Caenorhabditis elegans: one gene and its partner. The protein of the gene in region 2 interacts with the protein of the main gene of each other region in a pairwise test. Each region holds a gene or a part of one and is shown on either strand. Other genes may lie near its edges.

What was found.
Region 1: the proteins of sao-1 (region 2) and sel-10 interact in a two-hybrid assay, tested with the Caenorhabditis elegans proteins (3 studies listed by BioGRID).

The regions. Positions count from the first base shown.
Region 1 is NC_003283.11:13,817,662-13,821,720, forward strand, and holds the start of sel-10 (F-box/WD repeat-containing protein sel-10), read left to right. Parts: upstream 1-1,699; 5' UTR 1,700-1,703; coding exon 1,704-1,793; intron 1,794-1,858; coding exon 1,859-1,926; intron 1,927-1,968; coding exon 1,969-2,065; exon of another isoform or gene 2,066-2,188; intron 2,189-2,299; coding exon 2,300-2,434; intron 2,435-2,482; coding exon 2,483-2,628; intron 2,629-2,676; coding exon 2,677-2,796; intron 2,797-2,856; coding exon 2,857-3,249; intron 3,250-3,596; coding exon 3,597-3,822; intron 3,823-3,871; coding exon 3,872-4,054; intron 4,055-4,059. UniProt on the Caenorhabditis elegans protein: Probable substrate recognition component of SCF (SKP1-CUL-F-box protein) E3 ubiquitin-protein ligase complex, which mediates the ubiquitination and subsequent proteasomal degradation of target proteins.
Region 2 is NC_003283.11:13,961,903-13,965,959, forward strand, and holds sao-1 (GYF domain-containing protein), read left to right. Parts: upstream 1-2,069; coding exon 2,070-2,145; intron 2,146-2,194; coding exon 2,195-2,322; intron 2,323-2,371; coding exon 2,372-2,491; intron 2,492-2,543; coding exon 2,544-2,696; intron 2,697-2,856; coding exon 2,857-2,919; intron 2,920-3,029; coding exon of another isoform or gene 3,030-3,035; coding exon 3,036-3,167; intron 3,168-3,209; coding exon 3,210-3,281; downstream 3,282-4,057. Other genes in the region: algn-13 (UDP-N-acetylglucosamine transferase subunit ALG13), read right to left, coding at 1-53; R10D12.13 (CCD97-like C-terminal domain-containing protein), read left to right, coding at 515-660, 711-825, 869-1,004, 1,056-1,363, 1,412-1,518, 1,796-1,889. UniProt on the Caenorhabditis elegans protein: Involved in negative regulation of early and late embryonic Notch signaling.

The DNA of each region.
Region 1 (4,059 bases), 140 kb from region 2:
TCAGGTATACCCACTATTTCATTTTCTAGACACCATACCGAAAACCCTAAATTTTGGCAACACGTATGATGTTGGTATTTGATTTTATCCTTAAATTTACAATTAGAGCTCATTTTTATTCTGTTTTTGTTTCTATAGTTTTGCAGTTCAAATTTTAATTATAATGTGAAAATCTTCCAAGAAAACATTTTTTCAGCTTTCCAAAATCGTTCTACAGAAATTTCCGAATTGGTCAGGTCTCTTTCAACTAATCGAATTTTTTGACATACTGGAGCTGGACTAGTATCAAAATTGCCAAATTATTTTAATTTAATTATTTTCATGTTTCGTCGTCCTTTTTTTATCGAAATGATATAGGTAGAAAGGCGTGAAAATAAAAATATATTTCACGAATTTATTGTCTGATACCAACGTCATTCTTGAATAGATTTGGATTTTATTTCAGTTTTTATTTCACTAAATAAACATATCAAAAGTGTTGGAAATTGTGGCTCCTCCTGAAGTCGAACAATCGGAATTTCCGTTTTCAGAGAATGTAGGCTATTTCAAATAATCGTATTTTTCGGTTTTGTGCAATTTCTAGCATATTGAATATATATCTTGCAAATGTGATGTGTTGCTGACAAATATGAATTTTAACTTTCGCTGATAAATATCAGTACAATTTATGAATTGAATCCTCTCAATCACATCTCAATTCTTTCATATTCGTCCCCCCGCAATACAAAGCCAATAAAGTGTGAAAAACAAAGAAATGGAGCAAATAGTGAGCTATGACTCAACTAACGTATTTCAGATGGGAATTGCAGTTTAGTCATGAATGTGTTATCATATCAGAAATAGTTCTTGACATTTGTGAAGAAATATTATACAGAAATTCCAAAGCGATTGTTTCCAATTGTGGCAGGTGTTCGTGTCTCTTTTTCTGTCAGTTTATGGTATTCATTTCCATAAAATTACCCCCTCGGTAGCCACAGATGGTCATAATTCTTTTGAATTCAGTTATGGAAATACCACATTACGTTCAGAATGTTACAGATTTTAAATCATTTTTCTTTTGTGGTTGTAAATTGAATCACTTGTTTTAAAAAACCATATTACCTATATGTATTATTTTATTCAAAAACTGAATTAATATACTCAGTTTAAAATTTCAAAACAAGAGTTTTCGTGGGATGCAGTTCGTTTTTTAAATTCCTTATTATCCTGAAATTTATAAGGATGGTTTACTTGTGCAATACGAAACAACCTTTCCGTAAAAATGATTTTGAAACAAGGTTGAACACATTTTTCTGCACCATCATGAAGGACGAGAACCCAGCTGTCATATGCAACAGCAGTGACCATCGAACACCTGCTTCTTCTGTGAAACTGATTATGTGACCGACAAGTCGGACATTTTATATTTTATTTTACACGAGAATATTTGTTGAAGTTATCTTATCAACTTTATACACTTTATATGCATAGAAAATGTTTCATCGTGTGAACATCAAGTGAACAAACGTGCGCGTCGGAAAATGCGTCAAGCGGTTATTGGCGCACTACTGGATGCCTTGACGCATATCGCGTGCAAAAAGCTTTCATCTTCTCTTCTCATTTTCTCACGAAAATCATAGTTTTATCGACTTTCCTTTTGTGTTCAAATTCTTCATTCCCAGTAGTTTTTGTCCTTTATTCATTTCCAATTCTTTTTCAGCCATATGTGGCCACGAAATGATGTACACATGGATGATGGATCGATGACACCGGAGGACCAGGAGCCTGTTACCGATAATGATATGGAATATAATGTATGTTAACATTTACAACCCTTTTCAGAATATAATTTAATTCTAATTGAAATGTTTGTCTTCAGGACAATGGAGAAGAAAGCTCGTACAGCAATGGCTCTTCTTCCAGCTACAATGCTGACAAATTATCGTCGTAAGCCTTTTTGTAGTGAATATTTATAGCAAAACGTACCAGTTCCAGACCTTTGCAACACAAACTTGATTTATCGGCTTCTCCCTCTCGAAACAACGACCTCAATCCGCGTGTCGAACATTTGATCGCATTATTCAAGGTAAACATATTGATTGATTGTCGCGATCAATCTTTCAGCGTTGCGGCTAATACACATGCAATAAATTAATATTTGAATGCGACAATAATTAGTAACATGACAAAACAATGCATTCAAGCTCCGGTGAGGGTGACCTGTGTATTATTGATTTTTCCAAACCTTGAAGAGAGCACCTCAGCCAGGCATATTCGCTCTATTTTTGCTGAAAAAAAGTGTAATTTGAATTCATTTTAGGATCTATCAAGCGCGGAACAAATGGATGCATTCACACGTCTGCTTCAGGAATCCAACATGACAAATATTCGACAGCTGCGTGCCATTATTGAACCCCATTTCCAGCGTGATTTCCTCTCCTGCCTCCCTGTCGAGGTATTTGTGTTGAAACGGAAAGAAAAATTATAAATATAACTTTTTCAGCTCGGAATGAAAATCCTTCACAATTTAACCGGATATGACCTGCTCAAAGTGGCACAGGTGTCGAAAAATTGGAAATTGATATCTGAAATTGACAAAATTTGGAAGAGTCTTGGTGTCGAAGAGTTTAAACATCATCCAGATCCCACGTAATACTTTTGAACGGGAATTATTTGAGATTAGTATTATCTTTTCAGAGACCGAGTTACTGGTGCGTGGCAAGGAACTGCAATTGCTGCTGGAGTCACTATTCCTGATCACATTCAGCCATGTGATCTTAATGTTCATCGATTTCTAAAGTTGCAGAAGTTTGGAGAGTACGTTTATTGGAAATATTATTTTTAAAGACGTTCCGATCACATTCGATTTATTTTCAGTATCTTCGAACGCGCTGCTGACAAGTCACGTTATCTTCGAGCCGATAAAATTGAAAAGAACTGGAATGCGAATCCAATTATGGGGTCAGCAGTGCTACGAGGACACGAAGATCATGTAATCACTTGTATGCAAATTCATGATGATGTCTTGGTGACTGGATCTGACGATAACACTCTTAAAGTATGGTGTATTGACAAAGGAGAGGTTATGTACACACTAGTCGGCCACACTGGAGGAGTTTGGACATCACAGATTTCTCAATGCGGAAGATATATTGTTAGCGGGTCCACTGATAGAACTGTAAAAGTTTGGAGTACTGTAGATGGTTCACTTCTTCATACACTTCAAGGACATACTTCCACTGTTCGATGCATGGCTATGGCTGGTTCCATGTAAGGCTATTCACTATGATAACTGCTTGGAAAAAGAAATTTAATACTGAAAATTTCGGGTTTCGTACAGTTGAATTCCCTAATTTGCGAGCTATATCAAATCTTGATGGAAAGTTTTTGATTTGTAGATCATTTATATCTTAAGAAAATTATTCTATCTAATTTCACAAAAAAAGTTTATGGTAATTTTTTTAAAACTTTTGTTTCAAAATAGAAAAACACGAACGTGTATTTGGTTGTTTAAGACTTTTTTAATACATTTTCTATCTTAAAAATGAGAAGAAAACGAAAAATCTCGCTGAATAACCACACTTTCAACCCATACATTTTAATTTTAATACTTTCAGACTTGTCACTGGATCACGAGATACCACTCTTCGTGTATGGGACGTAGAATCCGGACGTCACCTGGCAACTTTACATGGCCATCATGCAGCCGTTCGATGCGTTCAATTCGATGGAACAACTGTTGTTTCGGGAGGATATGATTTTACCGTTAAAATTTGGAATGCTCATACTGGGAGATGTATCCGTACTCTGACCGGTCATAACAATAGAGTTTATTCTCTTCTCGTACGTTTTTCTTATAACAAAATCCGAAAAATAATGTTTTTGTTTTCAGTTTGAAAGCGAGCGATCGATCGTGTGCTCTGGCTCTCTGGACACTTCAATTCGCGTGTGGGATTTTACACGACCGGAAGGCCAAGAATGTGTGGCTCTTTTGCAAGGACACACCTCACTTACATCCGGAATGCAACTTCGAGGCAATATTCTCGTGTCATGCAATGCAGATAGCCATGTTAGAGTAAG
Region 2 (4,057 bases):
TGATTTATCAAGTCTTCGAACAATGTTGATCCAACCGTCACGAAGCAACTCATTTTGAAGAGAACTGCGAGAAATCTGAAAACAACTGAAAATCAACCCAAAGGAAACACAAGAAAACAGTAAAGAGACGATGGAACAAATTTTGTTGGATTTTAAGAAACACACAATTTTTTTGGTTAAATTTTAAAGTTTTCTTTTAGTTTAAAACAGAGTTTTAAGAAATAAATCAAGAACCAAGCTTAAAAACTCTGTGGAAATAAAAAGCTGGAAATAGTGAATGCGTGCCGGGTCATTGCATAAACTGCGCGCGGCAACTGCAAAAAAGGGCGGAGCCCGCGTAAATTCGTATTTTCTCTCTGCTCATTGTTGAAAATTCTCTTTAGTTTTTACCCTGGTTTTCTCAATTTCTTACATTTTTCATGTATTTTTTCCATACATAATTTGTTTCTTCTTTGATTCTGTCTTTTAAGTTCTTAAAAACGTTCGTACATTGATGGGATCGTTACTTTTTCAGATGGAAGCCATTTTTTCGCGAATCATCAGCGACAAAAATGCTTTTTTCAAGCATCAGCAAATGAATGAAGAGGAACTGACAGAAGATGAAAAAATGGAGATTCTGAAAACGCTGTCGAAGGAGAAACTACCAGTTTTTCTCTCCAGGTTTCTATTTTTTAAAGTATATTTATATTATTCCTTTCTACTAATTCTAGGTATCAAAAATACCTGGAACCAGTAGATGGTCAAATTTTCGCTGATAATGATGATTTTGTGGTTCAGAGTATCATGAAGCAAATCCGCGGACAGCAAAAGATGACTGAGAAAGAGGTACGCCGGGAGTGGTTCAACAAGATTATAATTGTTTCATCAGTTTCAGAAAAGGAATTACCGATTTAATGCGATGCAGAATCTTCTGAAAGAAGGCGAATTTTTCTCTGATGCGAAAATGAGAGAAAGGGAACCCTATCTCTTTGATGCAATGATTGGAAAGTTTCTGAACGATGAAGGTATCGATTTAAACTTTGCAATAGTTCAAATTCAATATTAATAAATTCCAGAAAGAATGGACCATCTTCGTCCAACTGTGTCTCGTGACAAATCGGAATCTACTTGGTCTACTCTAATGGACCGCCTTGAGGACAGTACAGAGATTGCTGAACGCCGGAATCTTCAAGAAAGGGAATGGGAAGGCTCGCGGGACCTTGATGATGGGGGAAGAGATCATATAAACCGGTTCATGTCTCATGTCGATAGTCATGCCGAGAATTTTGTGCCAGAAGAGGAGGAGGGAGACGAAGAAAGCACTGAAAAAGTTGAGGATGAGATTGAAACGATGCGGAAAGAAATGGAAAGACTGTCTAAAATTGTGAGATATTGAGACAGAGAAAACGTCCAATTAAATCTTAAATTTCAGGAAGCTGAGCAGTACGATGATTTAGACGAGAATGAAACGCAACAAGTCCTTCGTCGAGAGTTTGAGGCTTTCATGCAACAGAAGTTTTTGGCGGGAAAAGATAAAGAGTGCGTTTAGAATGAGATAACATCTGTATTTCCGCTAACTGTCTCTCTTTTTATGACCTTCAACCTTCAATCACAACGAACGTACTTTCTAACTCAGATTTTCCTTTTCCTCACTTTCTCTCATCTATCTCTTCTTGTCCTCTCGACCATCCAATTTTCCATTATGTAATCGATGAGAAGACTTTCTCCACTTTTGTGTCCTGTATGCTGTCCATTGTAGACAAGAAAACTCTAATTTCCTTCTTTGTTTCATATGGAAAAATCTAATTTGTTTCAGATTCTACGACTACTCAAAATGTGAAGAATTTGGATTATCAAATCCTATCAAAGAGCGAGATGACGAGGAACGATGGTTTGAGAAGGATGATTGATACTTTTTTTTTCTTAATTTTCATTTAAAAAAATTTATTTTCACTTTTAAATATTATTTGTTGTTGACAAGGTCCCTGGGCCTTTGCTTATATTTTCATTTATCTACATTCATTTTGTTTATGTTTATTTTAAATAATTGCAGGGTTTATCACTAGTGACATCAAAATACCGACGGCGCGATGCACAAGAACGGAAACAATGGACCTGTCATTGACACAAAATGGCACTATCTCGGCCCTGACAGTGAAAAATATGGTTGGTAACTAAAAATCACGAAATTCAAACTCAATGTGATACATTTCAGGACCATATATGTCAAAGGATATGCTGTTCTGGCTTCAAGCGGGATACTTCAACGACGGTCTCCAATTGAAAACTGAAAATGAGCCAAACTATCATACGCTTGGAGAGTGGAGCCAATTGCTCGGAACTGTATGCATTTTTCTCTATAATTTATTGGCATGACAATTATTGTTTTCAGCACCCATTCAGTATGCCTGTGCACTCACTGGATGCGACGATTGCTCAGATGAACTCAATGCGGCCTCACGGAGCAATGATGATGGTTCCACCTGGACTTCAAAATCAATTCCAACCACCGGTGATAAAATAAAATTTATCCTCTTGCAATTTTTCATTAATTTGTTTTTCAGATGCCGATGCGTTTCCCACCATTCCTTCCAATGCCGCTTCTCCATCAAATGAATCAAAATGGACCACCAATGGGTGCTCAAATGCATTCTCAGCCACCATCGGAGCCAATCGACGCTGGATCTCTGTCCCATACCCCAGATTCCGAGAACGAAGTAAGTATTTGTAGTTTCTTGCTTGTGAACCGGCGCTTTTGTGATGACTTGTCCCTAGCATGACTTTGCATGAACCCCCGGCTTCTTATATATCATTTTCTCGTTTTGTGCGTGCTTGATAATTAGCTCTAATAATTCTTATCCGGCTATTCGAATTTAGACGCGGTTAAACGAGCAAACTCTCCAGCAGCCTCCATCGTGGCTAATTGCCCTTGGCCTGGCGGTAAGTTATAGAAATGTATCAAAGGGAGGTGTGAGTGTGAAACTGTTTAATCAAAAAAAACGAGGAGAAATATTTTTAAATTTTGTGCAATGTTATACAGTTCACACCAGTTTCAGGGACATGGTCGTAAGCCACACCATCATCAGCAAATTCTTGCCCATCAGCACATCCCACAGATGCAGCACGCTAATGTTGCCACCGACCAAGTTGTGATGAAGAGCGTCGAGTGCCAGACAGAGCCAGTTGAGGTTAGATATTATTCGACATTCAAAGAAATGATTTTAAAATAGTTTCAGATTTCAAAGGAACAGGCTTCTCGTGTTCTTTCCGAGTTGCTCGGACAAATGGTTATCATCAACTAAATCTTCTCTTCATTTTCCTTCTTTGCCGTCTACAATCTACAGTTTATTCCCGTTCATATTGTTAAACCGTCTGCTTGCTCGAGAATTGAGGCAAATCGTTCGAACCCGTGTGTGACATTCTGAGGGTTTCCGTAGTTTTGCAGCAATTCGCGAGCCATAACTCATTGACCCCGTATTAGTTTGTTGGACTCATCACACATTTTCCCCCATTTATCCATGTCTATCATTATCGACCGCTACCGTTTTATTCTTTTTCCACCTCCCCCCTCATCCTTCGCATTCATGATAATGTTGATATATTCAATTTTTGTTCATTTTGCCTTTTCTCTCTACTTGTCCCTTCGATTTCCCCCTCATCATCACCCACGTCTCCATGCTTTATAGCCCCGAGTTTTTCCCTTCCAGTTTTTCTTTTTTCTATTTATCTCTTTTTCATTATTATGTGTTGTTTTATTTCCCAATTTCTTTTAATATTTAATTTCCTCCCGAAATGTTCCATTATCCCCATTTATATGTTCCCACCGTTTTAGTAGGCTTTTATTCTGCTCTCATTTGGTAACCTGATTTCCTTCTCACTGTTTGAACCGCAAACATAATGAAGAGTTCATTTGTGACATGTGGAAAGTTGCTGTCGAGATCGTAATGCACATTATTAGAAAAGGGAAATATTTCATCCGATCCAGGAACCAGTTCAGAACAAAATAATTTAAAATTATTAAATACCATAAGCGAAAAGCAAACATTTTAAAACCTTTTCCACCAATCAGGTGGGCGGA